4 linked regions of the Rattus norvegicus genome follow. The protein of the gene in region 1 interacts with the protein of each later gene in a biochemical or structural test. Links are inferred from orthologs where the notes say so. Each region holds a gene or a part of one and is shown in the gene's direction. Other genes may lie near its edges.

Region 1 (2,991 bases):
CACATAGCTTAGCAAATTTCACTTTCTCTTTACCTTTTATTTTCCTCAGTCTTTTTTTTTTTTTTCCTTAATTCAAGACAAGGTTTCTCTGTGTAATCCTATCTGTAATCCTGTGTAAACAAGTCCTAGAACTTAAGCTATAGACTCCAGACTGGTCTTGAACTCACAGAGATCCACCTACTTCTGCCTCCCGAATTCCTGGATTAAAGCTGTGTGCCACCACTTCCCAGTTTCTCAAAATCTTTTAATTTGTATAAATGTAGGTTCCTCAACAGTATTCTAAAATACTGGCCTTCTTGTCATTTAAACATGCAAAAACTACCAATGTTGTTATTGGCTATTTATAAAGAGTGTGAGTGATTGTGCTGTTCTTTTACTTTCAAAATCTCACTGGCCATCTATCTCATTCAAGGGCGGTAGAATCTCCTTGAAAATTCTTCTGAAAGTTTTAGAATTTTTCTTAGGTAAAATATTTTTTAAGGTAAGTATTTTCTGTCTCCAAATATCCCTAGGAAATTGTGAAAGCCCATTGATCAGAACCATATCTAATTTATTTTTACTTAGAATTAAGGTGATTGGCATCTGAAGTTAGTGATTCCTTTTTATGTGTTTGAGATATGTTTTAATTATTTATGTACATGAGGGTTTGCCTACATGTATATATGTGCATCACTTATATGTCTAATACTAGCAGAAGCCTGAAATCCCCTGGGACTGGAGTTATAATCAGTTGCAAGCTGTCCTGTGGGTGTTGGAAACTAAACCCAAATCTCCAAGAGTAGCAAGTGGTCTTAAATGCTAGGCTGTCTCTACAGCTCCTAAATATAATGATTTTCAATCTCTCTACTTCAAAGAAGTCACTCTCACACTAGAAATATTGCATTTTCCATTAAAGATATCAACCCTGTACAAAGTACTAGGAGTTTGAACTATTTTAAAGAGAGATATTTAAAGTGGTTAATTTCAGTTTGTAGCCCCTAGGCCTGTGTTATTTGCTACAGATACAAACAACGTTTTTGCCCAAACCAAAAGAACTATTAGTTTTACTCTTGAAAAAATTAAAGGCGGTATCTTTGTACAAATCCTCTTAAGTAATGTTCCTTGCATCCTTCGTATAAGTTTACGGAAACATGCAAGTAACTCTCAGGATGCTCTCTGCTCGGTGGATTTTTAGTAAACACTGGAGGGATTTTTAAAAATACCTTTGGTCAGTTGCGTGGGATTCAAAAAAGCACAACCAGGTACGTGAATCCGAAGGCTGTTCTCCTTTGGAACTCCAAACTGCCAATTTCTGTGGCATTATTTTCGGCAGTAAGTAAAAATTTGGTGACTAACAAACACAATTTGGGATTGTAACCTTGAGTCGCTGCGGCCAGAGGGCGGTGGATTGGACGTTCCACCAATCACAGCCCAGCACCGGCTTATATAAACCCGGAGCCTGAGCAAAGGAGCATTGCAAAATTTGCTCTTCGCGTTAGGTTTCCTTTTCTTGCAGATTTTATTCTCGCCATGTCTGAAACTGCTCCCGCCGAGACTACGGCTCCCGCTCCTGTAGAGAAGTCTCCCGCCAAGAAGAAGACAAAAAAAGCTGGCGCGGCAAAGCGCAAGGCCACTGGCCCCCCGGTATCTGAGCTCATAACTAAGGCTGTTTCTGCCTCTAAAGAGCGCGGCGGCGTGTCCCTGCCTGCTCTGAAGAAGGCATTGGCTGCTGGTGGCTACGATGTGGAGAAGAACAACAGCCGCATCAAGCTTGGGCTCAAGAGTTTGGTGAGCAAAGGTACCCTGGTGCAAACAAAAGGTACTGGCGCCTCTGGTTCCTTCAAGCTTAACAAAAAGGTGGCTTCCGGCGAAGCCAAGCCCAAGGCTAAGAAGACTGGGGCTGCCAAGGCCAAGAAACCTACAGGTGCCACCCCGAAGAAGCCCAAGAAGACTGCCGGGGCCAAGAAGACCGTGAAGAAAACTCCAAAGAAAGCAAAGAAGCCTGCAGCGGCTGGAGTAAAGAAAGTTACCAAGAGCCCTAAGAAGGCCAAGGCTGCTGCCAAGCCTAAAAAGGCGACTAAGAGCCCGGCAAGGCCCAAGGCGGTGAAATCTAAGGCGTCCAAGCCTAAAGTTACCAAGCCCAAGGCAGCTAAGCCTAAGGCTGCCAAGGTAAAGAAGGCTGTTTCCAAGAAGAAGTAAGCTTGCTTGTAACAGCAGCAAAGCCCCAAAGGCTCTTTTCAGAGCCACCCAGAGAACTCTGTGAATGTAGCTGTACACACTTTAAGCTCTCCCGGGTTGTTATCTCCCAATTGGGCCAACCAACTGGAACACCTTCCCGCCCTGATTTGGGCCCTGTGCTCAATCTACAAGGTAAGACGGTTTAGTCTTACCTATGGATAAATTGGTTATGTTGGCTGTTGGTAGTCTCGCGGCCCACTATGGTCACTTGGGACCTGTACGTGGGCCATAACTGCCCAGTGTGGAATAAAAGCGTTGTTAGTAGCCAACATTCACTTAGGATTAAGTGAGACCTCGCGCGAAAAATAACTCATTGGCTGTGTCGTATTACCTAAACCAATGGTACTCTGGTTTATTACTGACTTTAAACTTGATTGGACAGTCATTAGAAGACGTTTACAGATAACGCGGTATTCATCGCCATAGTCTGTTTAAAATGAAGCCAGTGCGGAGACCATCTTCCCTCCCCCTCCTTTAGAGTTTCCTTAACAGAGCTTGAGCTGGTGGAAGTCTCGGTCCGACTGGAAGGGCTCGTAGAAGGCGAGGGACAAGTATGCAGAACAGCAAGAGGTGGAGCCAAAGCTGCAAGGTCCTGAAGCAGGCCCCCCAACACGGGCATCTTTTCCAAAGGCTGTGTACAAATTTCCACTCTCAAGTCATTTACGCTTTTTTTGGAGCCTTTTTGCTCAGTTCTTCCATTGGAAGCACCCAGACACTGAAGTCCCTTAATGAACGGTCCTTTTGTGTTAAAGGTTTGTTAATGTAGTAATGGGT
Region 2 (4,224 bases), on another chromosome or scaffold:
CAGGAGATTTAAGGTCATTCTCAGCTACATAGGGACTTCGACCTGTGATGTATTTTATAAAACCAAGGATATGTTTTACAGAGCACAGTATGGTGTGGTGGGAGGGAATACCTCAGTGGACCGATGCTGAAGCATATACCCTTCACACCAGATACCAGCCATGATGGGTTTAGTACAGAATAGTTTATTTGGGGGCATGGGAAAGGGAGTTGAGAAAGGAATAGAGACAGAGAAAGAGAGGGGACAGAGGACAGAGAGAAGGGGGAAGGGAGGGGAAGGGAAAGGAGAGGAGGAGAGAAGCAGTTCTTTTTTTATAGCAAACTGGCCTATCTGGCTGTTGCTAGGTAACTGTTGGGCAGAGCATAGAAGGAATGCCAACAACCTGTGCTACAAGAGATCCTGGTCAACAAATAAATAAATCCTCATTGATGTTACTGAAATTTAATGTGGAAAAAGATTTCACTGAAGTTATTTAGCCTTAATAAGGTGTCTGAGGTAGAAGGATGGAGTGCTGCATTATGGATTCTTGTTAAATAGAATAGATTCTACAAAACTGTATTTTTGAAGTAATCTTAAACAGGAGCGAAATTAAGCATGTGGCACATTTTCTTTTGTCCCTGGGGCAGTAGCTATTGGGGCGATTGGTATGTTAATCTATTTGCTTAGGCTATAACTTCATGCTATAAACCTCAAAATCCATCCCAGGCAGCGGTCGGAACAATCATACTAAAGACTGTCTCTGCTTCAAAGCTTTCGCGAACTCTTAAGATAGTACTGGCACTTCTGTAGATGAGGATGAGAAACAGTAAGTAGGGGCTGGAGAGATGGCTCAGCGGTTAAGAGCACTGACTGCTCTTCCAGAGATCCTGTTCAAATCCCAGCAACCACATGGTGGCTCATTCATAACCGTCTGTAATGGGATCAGATGCCCTCTTCTGGTGTGTCTGAAGACAGCTACAGTGTACTTATATATACTAAATAAATAAATCTATTTTTAAAAAGAGAAACAATAAATAGGACAGCAAAACTGTTATGCGTGCTCCAGAAACGTGGCGGCCCCACAGTCATTTTCCTAAGGTCCAACGGAGTTGCCTTGGACAGCACACAAGTGGGCATTGCCGGCCAAGCCTACCTAAAGCAGGTGGCAGCAAAGAGGCGAGTGCGCAGGCGCAGAGCTTGACCTCACGAGGGGTGGGCGGTGCTGCCAGCTACAGCCTCGCTCTGGCCCCACCCCTCGCCGAACTTGGGATCGCGGGATCGCCCAGGAAACGCATTCTACGGGAACCCGCAGCACCAATGGGAAGAGAGCGAGTGCCATGAACTGACCAATGAGGAGGGAGCGGCCCGGGGTTTAAACCCAGGCCCGGCAGACTCCTCCCGGCGTGCTGTGGGGGAACGGCTGTTAGTGTTTAGGTGTGGGCAGCCAGAGGTTAGGGTGTCTTCTCAGATCGGCGAACCTCTGCTTCAGGAGGAGCCATGGCGCTCAGGGTCACTAGGGTGAGTCGGGCCGGGCGCTGCGGTCCTCGCTGTGGGAGAAGGCCGCGGCGGCCAGGAGGGGAAGGGGATGCCCGGAAGGTTCCGGCCAATGGAGGAGCTAAGGACCCTCCCTGGAGGGTGAAAAAAGACTTCGGGACATATCTGGGCTGAAGGACTTAGAGGGAGTAGGGTGGTGTGCTTTTAATGATGAAGGCCCAGAGTGAATCTTCCCAGAGTCTGTCTGCCCAGAGTCTTCCCAGAGAGCTGTCTACAAGGAGGCTTTCATGATTACCTTTCCGATGTAAATTTCACCGTGTTTAGGATTGCTTGGGACTTAAAGGGAAATTGGATAATAGGTGAACGTTTTGGGTGGAAACCTGCTTGTCAGGGCTGGAGGATAGATCCTAGAGCCCTTGCTTTCCATAGTGGGGTCCCGCCTTAATTAACCCATGACTTCCTGGAGCCGCCATGGATCCTCTCTCAAGTGGTTCTTACTTCTTTCAGAACACGAAAATTAACACAGAAAATAAGGCCAAGGTCAGCATGGCAGGCGCCAAGCGTGTGCCTGTGGCAGTTGCTGCCTCCAAACCCCTGCTGAGATCGAGAACTGCTCTTGGAGACATTGGTAATAAAGTCAGCGAACAGTCAAGAATACCCCTCAAAAAGGTAACTTATCTTCCTGGTCCAGTTATCCTGAAAAAGCCCATCTTCTAGGTGTCACCGTTGGAAAAACATTCTGTTCTTTCACTTTCATCCACAGGAAACAAAAAAGTTAGGTTCTGGAACAGTTACTGTTAAAGCCCTACCAAAACCTGTGGACAAGGTGCCAGTGTGCGAACCAGAGGTGGAACTGGATGAGCCTGAGCCTGAACCTGTTATGGAAGTGAAACACTCTCCTGAGCCTATTTTGGTAAACTTAGCATTTTAAAAAGTGTATTCCTCCTCTCTGACTTCATTTCATGTTGATGCACACGACGGCATTTAAATATATTGTTTATTGAGTGGTTAGTGCATTTTACGTGCACTAACAGCTCTAGGGTAAGTATTAGCACTCTGCTTCAGATGGTGGCAGATAAATATGGTAGGGCTCTTGTTTTATGTAGACAGTCTCACTGTGTGCTCCTGGCTGGCCTGGAACATAGAGGTTTGCCTGCCCCTCGAGGCCTGGGATCCAGAGGTGGCATAATCATTTTCTTTTTTGTGTAACTGTATAGCTTCCGCTGTCCTTGAGTTTGAGATTCCCACCTCTCCAATGCTGGGGTGATATATTCAGGCTAGATCTTTTAATTGGTTTCTTTAAAAGGAAAAAAAAATCTCAGACAGAAATAAGATTAATTAAATAGGGTCCTTGGTAACACATCTTCCAATCCCAGCATTCTGGCCTAGAGGCAGGTGGGCCTCTAAGTTCAAGGCGGGCTGTGTATATAGTAAGATCCAGTCCAGACAGAGCTGCATCTAGTGAAACCGTTTAAAAAAAAAAAATAGGGCTGGAGAGATGGCTCAGAGGTTAAGAGCACTGACTGCTCTTCCAAAGGTCCTGAGTTCAAATCCCAGCAACCACATGGTGGCTCACAACCATCTGTAATGGGATCTGATGCCCTCTTCTGGTGTGTCTGAAGACAGCTACAGTGTACTTATATATAATAAATAAATAAATCTTTAAAAAAAAAAAAGATGATGGATTAATGTTGATGGGTTAACATTTAAGCCCCAAATGGAAGTTTACCTGAGTTCGTAGCCTGTTAGATTGTGTTTAGCATAGGGATGCTCTGGGTTCAGTCCTTGAGTACTAAAACCACACACACACACCGCCAGATTTTACTACTAGGTGTGATGGTGCATGTTTGTGATTTTAGTACTTCCTCTAAGGCAGGAGGGTTGAATGCTCAAGGCTAGCTAGGGCTCTCTGGGTTTGTAATCAAGAACTTGTATTCACCTGAATAATTGATTAATTGATAATTGAAGGCTTGGCATTCTTTTGAATTGACCTCACATGATGCTGATGAATAAATGGCTTTATTATCACTTACCTGCTCGTTTCCTTTGACTTGCCTTACATGTTAGTATCTATAGAGTCCTGTGTGTGCCCAATCGTATGTATCTGAAGAGAGACTCCTTTGGAGCTGGAGTAACAAGCATTTGTGAGCCACCCAGTGTGGATGCTAGGATCTGAATTCTGGTCCTCATGGAGTATCAAGGGCTCTTTAACTGCTGAGACAGTTCTCCAGCTCCCATGCTCTCTTGTATTTTGTGTGAGAATACACAGAGAAGTCAGAGACAGCTTTTTTTTTTTCCCCCTTCGGAGCTGGGGACCGAACCCAGGGCCTTGCGCTTCCTAGGCAAGCACTCTACCACTGAGCTAAATCCCCAACCCCTTAGAAGACAGCTTTTGAGTCAGTTCTTCCACCATGTGGATCTCCTGGGGGTTGAACTCAGTTGTTAGGCTTAGCAACAGGTACCTTTACCCGTCTTGCCAGCCCACTTCTTCGTACTTTAAACTACCTGAATCTAAATTGGGGCTTATTTTTTTATGAGACCAGATCTTGCTGGCTTGCAGTTTGCTATGGAGACCAGGCTGGCTTCAACTCAGAGACCTGCCTTCCAGGTGCTGGGATCAAAGCTTATATTAACCATGCCTGGCTCTGATTGTTAGAACTGTTTTCTGATTGTTAGAATTGTTTGTTTTTTTTAAAGATTTATGTATGTGAGTACACTGCAGCTGTCTTCAAACACACCAGAAGAGGACAT
Region 3 (3,566 bases), on another chromosome or scaffold:
GGGAAGGAGGACAATAATGAAATTATATTGTTATTTTTCTCTTGGTGATTCAGTATCCTTTGCTAACTAATGAAGTTGAATAATTTAATATGGTCTTCAGAAACAAAACAAAGCACAGCTAAAGCCACCAAAGCTATGGGATTGTTTTTTTTCTGTTATTGGTTTGATCCTAACATTCTTCTCACAAAGTGACCCAATATCTATTCAACCAACAGGGATCCAGCTGAAGCATGTGTCCTTTAGACCTAGTCAGTGTTTCAAAGTCCCCAACCTGTCACAGTTCCCAGCAGTTAGTATACCATACCCTTGCGGTACTCTCGCGGACTGAGAAAAAGCTCACAGTATGTTTATAGCCCACACAGTTCTCTGATGGTTCTGTGGCAATGGCAGTATAAAGTGAATAAGCCTCCAGGGCCATGCGAGAGGACAGGAGCTAGAGACGACCGTTCCAAACTTTCCCCCTGATAATTCCTTACCCGCCCCCCAGGAAATACGAAGAGATATACCCGCCCGATGTCGATGAGTTTGTCTACATCACTGACGACACGTACACAAAGCGACAGCTACTGAGGATGGAGCATCTGCTGCTGAAAGTCCTGGCATTCGATCTGACCGTTCCAACCACCAACCAGTTCCTCCTTCAGTACTTAAGGCGGCAAGGGGTGTGCATCAGGACTGAGAATTTGGCCAAGGTATGCCACAGGACTTCTGGGGACAGCCACCTTTCCAACCACCTTCCACGCCCATCCCTCCCGGGTTTCCATCTCTGTAGAGGTGAAAGGCAGTTGTCTTAAAAACACGATGCCTGCTCACCAGACATTGCTGTTGATGGTACTGGCAGGTCCCAGTCACGTAGCTCCCGACTATCAAAGACTCTTAAGCACGGTAAGCTCCCTTGAGAGATGCAGACCGCAGGCGAGCAGCGCCTTTTAACTTGGGAGCAAGGTAAAACGTGGCTGGGTTTTGTTTGAATCTTATTCTAATTCAGTAAGAAATAAAGCAGCACGAAATCTGCAGCCATTTTGATCTAGAGGCACTTAGTTGGAATTATTAGCACTCTGTCCTAGCCAGTGAGCTTGCCATGGGAAATCTGTGAAACACACGCTATTCAAAGAGTAATAAAGATGACCACAAAGATTTCCCTGCATTCTCCTGACACGTCTCCAATGGCATTGCTTGAGCTTGAGAACTGTATCAATTTGCCTAGCCATTGCTAGCTTCAGTATGGCTGTTTCTTTGCCTCCTGGCTAATGACTCTTTCTATTTGAGATGTGAGCTCAATACTCCCTTATCTGACCACCGTAAAGCCTGATCTACTAGATAAGAGAAGTAACCTATCACATATGCCGTGTGGGTGAGATAGGGTATGGGAACATCATCACAACACAAACATTAGTCAGTCGAAGGACAGTCAGAGCAACTATGGAACTAGGAAATATACCTGGCTTAAGTTTGGGGCTCATCATTAGATTCTGAGGGAATGAAAATAAGGAACCAATTGGTGAGTTTGGCAATTCCAGGTTTACTGACAATTTTAGTCAAATTGGACCTTGCTCAAATTTCTTACTCCACTGAGATTTTTCTCTCTTGCCCTTAGTATGTTGCAGAACTGAGCCTTCTGGAAGCTGACCCATTCTTGAAGTATCTTCCTTCCTTGGTAGCAGCAGCAGCTTACTGTCTGGCAAACTATATTGTGAACAGACACTTCTGGGTACGTTTCTGTCTTCTTCCTAAGTAGAACACATTCAAAGTTCATACAAAATCTGTTCAGTGAGTTCAAGATTCAGAATGGACACAAGCCTTCTGAGGGAAAGTTTTTTTCATGATAGCTGGTTGTCATGGCAGCAGACCACAGCTTGTTTCTGAGTCTTCTAGATCAGTCACCATGGCTTTGATGCCATGGCTTTGCTCTGTGGGAAGCAGAAATAGCACGGAATCAGGAAGGCCTGGGAACCTCAGTGCCCAACAAAATATGCATAGAGGGCCTTGAGGCTTAGCCATTGGCCATGCCAAGCTAAAGTTGATCCTAGACAGCTGGAGTGGTGCACACCTATATTATAAGTGCCTGTGAGGTGGAGGCAGGAGGATTGTTAGTCCAAGTCCAGTCTGGGTCTCAGAGGGAGACCATCTCAATAAAACAAACATTAGTAGCATTCAGCTTCTGTAACAACGACAACAACAAAACCCCTCCAAGTTCAGTAATGACTGTTTCTTGCCTCAGAAGGCAGAAAGATCAGAAACAGATCCCTACATTTTATTCTAAATTTTCTCGGAGTGCTAAAAGAAATGAGTTATCTACTTTTATTTCTTATGATACTAGATAACTCTTTTAAAAAATGTATTTATCTGCATGCACATGTGTTTGTGTGTGTGTATGAGAGAGAGAGAGGCAGAGAGAGAGAGAGAGAGAGAGAGACAGAGAGAGAGAGAGAGAGAGACAGAGAGAGATGTAGGTCAGAGGAGAACTTTTCTCCTCCTATCAAGGGTTGTCTTTTGACTAGGGATCTCTATTCTATGCAATCTCTCATATTTAGTGTAAATTATTAAGAATCAGTGAAAGCCCCACCCACATAGGATCAAGAACAGTGGTCTGCCTCTACACTGAGGGTTACAACTATACTCCTGCCAGTTTAGAACCCAGGCTGTTTGGTTCTAGTGTAAGGTTTCTAAAGGAAGGGGTTATGAATCTTTCTGGATGGATATACTTGCTCACCAAGAATTTCACTTCACCCTTCACTTCATAAGCAGTTATGTTCAGATTTCTAACCTCTTATAAAGTTACGTGAAGCAAAATTTCCTTTTCGTTTCAATTAGCCAGAAACACTTGCTGCATTTACGGGCTATTCATTAAATGAGATTGTGCCTTGCCTGAGTGAGCTGCATAAAGCATGCCTCAGTATACCCCATCGACCGCAGCAAGCAATCAGGGAGAAGTACAAGGCTTCGAAGTAAGTGGGCACTCTCCCTTCCTTGCTTTCTGGGTTGTTGTGGAATCAGAACAACAAAAAGAAGTAGAATAAATTCTATCTTTCATTAGGTTGGAAAACAAGGTTGCTCGCTAAGTCAAGAAAAGACATTTAGGAAGATCTAGCTAGATTCACAGTTTGCCAGCGTTTGGCAGTTATAGTTAGCTGGCTTCCTTCTGACCCTTCAGACTGCTGGAGGTTTTCTGTAGCCTAACTGGCATCCTTGGCCCTGGGCTGACCTGGCTGTGCTCTCGTTTCAGGTACCTGCACGTGTCCCTCATGGAGCCACCCGTAGTTCTTCCCCTGCAGTGAACGGGTCAGCTCAACAGCCACACCAGCAGGCTTACTCTGACCTGTTACAGTTTTCTGCGGGTCGGGCCAACTAATGTCAGTTGTAGATGTCACCTTCAACATATGAGTGTTAGGTTCTTTTAGACGTCGGTAGTTTATAATTTATATAGATATAGACAGGTATTTTAAAAGAATAAACAACTTGCTGTGTGGCCATGTGTTGGGCCTCTTTACTAGTTGGCATAGCTGACACAACAGGCATCTTAGTTGCGAGTTATATCGTAGCTGTGTCAACACCTTCCCAAGTTG
Region 4 (3,900 bases), on another chromosome or scaffold:
TAACAGAACCATTGTATTATCTACTCATCTCTTGAGGAAGATGACACGTTAAGGTAATTCTCAGTCCTCTTAGTAGCCTACTGATGTATACTTCTTTTTTGGGATTAAGGTTATCCTAGAGCTATGAGGACAGTAGCCCTAAAACCAGAATAAGATATTCAGTGTTGCTTTGCCATTAGGGTGTTTTTATCGAAAGAGATAAATACTTTGACTTTAATGTCATACACAGAATCACCCCATGCTATGGATATATCTATTGTCTTAGAAGACGAAAAGCCAGTGAATGTTAATGAAGTACCTGACTATCATGAAGATATTCACACGTACCTTAGGGAAATGGAGGTAAGGCTCTGTTCATCAAAAATGGCTAAGTGAAGCAGAGAGGCTAACGATGGACACCTGCTAACTGCTAGCAAGTTACTCCAACGCTAAACTTAACGGCTACAGTGTATGTTAATTGTGTCTTTGTGAATGGTGAAGTAACTAATCATAGTTTTAATTAACCCTACTGAGTTTTTCTTCAGGTTAAATGTAAACCTAAAGTGAGTTATATGAAGAGGCAGCCAGACATCACTAACAGTATGCGGGCCATCCTTGTGGACTGGCTAGTTGAAGTGGGAGAAGAATATAAACTACAGAATGAGACCCTGCATTTGGCTGTGAACTACATTGATAGATTCCTCTCCTCCATGTCTGTGTTAAGAGGAAAGCTTCAGCTTGTGGGCACAGCTGCTATGCTGCTAGCTTCGTAAGTCTAGCTAATTTGGTTCAAAATCATCACTCACCACTCCTTCCCCCCATTTATATTCCATTTATATTTTATTGGGTGTTTTGCCTTTGTGCATCGTGCGTATCTGTAGCACATGTGTGGTGCCTGCTGAGGCCAAAAGAGGGCATTGGGTCCCAGTCATTGTGCCATCTCTTCAACCCCCAGTTTTAACACTGACACCTTTAGGGATGGCTATGGGATGATTCTGAGTAGAGGGTGAAACTTGTTTTCAAGTCTAAAATATAAAGCTTTCCAGATCTGGATTTTACATGCCTTGAATGAGAATACATTTTATCACACTAGATGAAGAGTTTGAAAGTATGGTTCTTCTACAATAAAGTGCTTTCTGGAGTATAAACAAATTCTTCCTTACATCAGGAAATTTAAAAAAAAATTGTATTCAGGAGACAAATCAGAAGTCCCTTAGTGATTTGGGCCTATGAATTGGTTTTTAATCATCTCAGCTAGAGATGGCAGTCAACTGTCAGTGGGAGTGTGGTTGGTGGAAGTGAGTAGAGTACAGTCTATGTAGACAAGACCTTCTTTTGAAAAAACTCATTTACAACTTCTTTTGTTATAGAAAGTTTGAAGAAATATACCCCCCAGAAGTAGCAGAGTTTGTGTATATTACGGACGATACCTATTCCAAGAAGCAGGTTCTGAGAATGGAGCACCTTGTATTGAAAGTCCTTGCTTTTGACTTGGCTGCACCAACAGTAAATCAGTTCCTTACCCAGTACTTCCTGCACCTGCAGCCTGCCAACTGCAAGGTAGAAAGCTTAGCGATGGTAAGTCCAGTTTGGGGTTTGTTTTAGGTTGCAATTAGGGGCAAGCCCTTAGTTTCATTGTATAACACTGCTTAAGAGAGAAAGTATTTCCAGATAGTTAATGCTCCAATACACAGAAAATCCTATAGCCCTCTATATCTGTGGGCTCTGCGCATATGGAATCAATGAACAGACATTAAATGTAACTGCCTATGTACTGGATAAACACATATCAATCGATCTTTTTTGTATTACACGTAATATTGTACTAGTGATATGCATGTAGCATTAGCTTATGAAATGGCATATGTAAGAGACTTGAGTATCTGGTGTCCGTGGATAAGGGCTGAGAGGTCCAGGAGAGAATTTTCCAATGAAGGCCCAAAGATGACCATTCCAGAAAGGCACTAACTAGTGGTTTAAAGAGAACATCCTAGTAGCTGTTTTAAGTTATTAGCTGAGAATAGAGCAGAACATTGAAATAATTTTCCCAGGGCTGGTACGGAACCAGTGAGAGTACCCAAGACAATAGAAACTGGTCAAGAAGCAAGGTTTTGAATCTGAGTCTGATGTGTGACTGTAAAGTTGTTTTGGTTTTGGTTTTCATTGCAGTTTTTGGGAGAGTTAAGTTTGATAGATGCTGACCCATACCTCAAGTATTTGCCATCGCTTATTGCTGGAGCTGCCTTCCACTTAGCTCTCTACACAGTCACAGGACAAAGCTGGGTATGTATTAACTGTTGCCTTCACAAGTATTGGTGTTCTTTGTCTTAACCTTAAACTTGCATTTGAAAGCTCTGCTTCTAGAGTCTGAGTCACCTGCTGCGAGCAGGGGAAGTAAACAGTCAAAAGAGTGAGCTAAAATGTGGGGGTTGGCACTCTCGGAGGCAAAGGGGAGGGGTCAACATTTGGAATGTAAATAAATTTATAAAAATTAAAATTAAAAAATGTGTCAAAGATTAGTGCCAACATTTAGATCAACTGTGAGTTCATGGTCAGTGCCCTGTGCTGTTACTAAAAACTCAATGGTTGTCTCTTTGTAGCCTGAGTCATTGGTACAAAAGACTGGATATACCCTAGAAAGTCTTAAGCCTTGTCTCATGGACCTTCACCAGACCTACCTCAAAGCACCACAGCATGCCCAACAGTCAATAAGGGAAAAGTACAAGCATTCAAAGTAAGAACCATATTCTTTACTGACTAAAGGATAACAGTAATATGCCACAGCCACCTCAGTAAGATCTTATGTCAACATAGGAAGCTTTTGTGCCTTTGCATCTGGTAAGAGATGGGTAAGGGAACAGATATGTGTCCTAAGTATCAAATGTTTTTAAACTCATTAGTCTAATCAAATAAAAGTAGCATTTCTCCAGTCTTGGGACGCATAAATTGTTTGTTCTGTGATCTCCCCGATGAATGTTTACTAATAGGTTTTTATTTCCTCTGCTTAACAGATATCACAGTGTTTCTCTTCTCAACCCACCAGAGACACTAAATGTGTGAGAGTGAAAGACTGAAATGGAAATCGCTCAGAGTTCATGCTGTACAGTTTTTATCTTTGGTTTTAATTTCACAATCATTTCTGAATGTAGATGGTATAGCCACAGACAAATTATGTTATCCATTACTTTTAAAATGGTTTTAATTTGTATATCTTTTGTACATGTGTCTATCTTAGATTTTGGCTAATTTTTAATTGGTTTGTTAACATTGGTGCTGCCAACTGTCAAGATAATAAGAATAAATTGATTTGGAAATCTTTGAAAGTGATAGATAATTTGGCTAATTTTAATTGGTTTGTTAACATTGGTGCTGCCAACTGTCAGGATAATAAGAATAAATTGATTCAGAAATCTTTGCAAGTCAAAGTTAATTTGAGGCAAAAAGAATGATGTCACTTAAAAAAGCTAATTTGATTTGTTTTATTGTTGAGGGTGGGGTAGGGAAAGCTTTTTATAAAATAAAATATTTCAGGGAAAGATGCCTTCAAATTTTGACATTGATTTTAATAATTGTAAGCAACCAAACCAAGTTTCTGACTTGGTTATAAGTAACCAAAAGTAGATGAATCTGTTTTCAGTGTAGCAGAACTCATTCAGAGCTCACATGTTACAGTAGTTTATGGAGACATTTTATTTACCAACTTTTACAAATAAGGTTTTACATGAATTGGGAAGCTTTTATGCAACAGAAAAGTTTTCCAGAAAGTTTATTCGAAGCATAATGTTAAAGACAAAACAGTTTATTAAGTTCAGCTCATAATAGATTTTCAAATAAAAAATATCCAGAGCTGTTAGCACTGAGCAAATACCCTCTTATTAGTTATATATATATATATTTTATATATATATATACATACACATC

The links.
Region 2: of the proteins of H1f5 (region 1) and Ccnb1, one has a biochemical effect on the other in vitro, tested with the Homo sapiens proteins (2 studies listed by BioGRID). The link is inferred for Rattus norvegicus from reciprocal best matches to the Homo sapiens genes H1-5 and CCNB1.
Region 3: of the proteins of H1f5 (region 1) and Ccna1, one has a biochemical effect on the other in vitro, tested with the Homo sapiens proteins (2 studies listed by BioGRID). The link is inferred for Rattus norvegicus from reciprocal best matches to the Homo sapiens genes H1-5 and CCNA1.
Region 4: of the proteins of H1f5 (region 1) and Ccna2, one has a biochemical effect on the other in vitro, tested with the Homo sapiens proteins (2 studies listed by BioGRID). The link is inferred for Rattus norvegicus from reciprocal best matches to the Homo sapiens genes H1-5 and CCNA2.

Annotation. Positions count from the first base shown.
Region 1 is NC_086035.1:47,420,423-47,423,413, forward strand, and holds H1f5 (histone H1.5), read left to right. Parts: upstream 1-1,452; 5' UTR 1,453-1,509; coding exon 1,510-2,178; 3' UTR 2,179-2,483; downstream 2,484-2,991. UniProt on the Homo sapiens protein: Histone H1 protein binds to linker DNA between nucleosomes forming the macromolecular structure known as the chromatin fiber. Histones H1 are necessary for the condensation of nucleosome chains into higher-order structured fibers.
Region 2 is NC_086020.1:33,652,377-33,656,600, reverse strand, and holds the start of Ccnb1 (G2/mitotic-specific cyclin-B1), read left to right. Parts: upstream 1-1,375; 5' UTR 1,376-1,476; coding exon 1,477-1,497; intron 1,498-1,980; coding exon 1,981-2,142; intron 2,143-2,236; coding exon 2,237-2,386; intron 2,387-4,224. UniProt on the Homo sapiens protein: Essential for the control of the cell cycle at the G2/M (mitosis) transition.
Region 3 is NC_086020.1:141,383,255-141,386,820, reverse strand, and holds the end of Ccna1 (cyclin-A1), read left to right. Parts: intron 1-487; coding exon 488-692; intron 693-1,597; coding exon 1,598-1,711; intron 1,712-2,814; coding exon 2,815-2,948; intron 2,949-3,226; coding exon 3,227-3,278; coding exon of another isoform or gene 3,279-3,352; 3' UTR 3,353-3,468; downstream 3,469-3,566. UniProt on the Homo sapiens protein: May be involved in the control of the cell cycle at the G1/S (start) and G2/M (mitosis) transitions. May primarily function in the control of the germline meiotic cell cycle and additionally in the control of mitotic cell cycle in some somatic cells.
Region 4 is NC_086020.1:121,354,856-121,358,755, reverse strand, and holds the end of Ccna2 (cyclin-A2), read left to right. Parts: intron 1-229; coding exon 230-342; intron 343-524; coding exon 525-748; intron 749-1,349; coding exon 1,350-1,557; intron 1,558-2,148; coding exon 2,149-2,262; intron 2,263-2,579; coding exon 2,580-2,713; intron 2,714-2,990; coding exon 2,991-3,039; 3' UTR 3,040-3,393; downstream 3,394-3,900. UniProt on the Homo sapiens protein: Cyclin which controls both the G1/S and the G2/M transition phases of the cell cycle. Functions through the formation of specific serine/threonine protein kinase holoenzyme complexes with the cyclin-dependent protein kinases CDK1 or CDK2.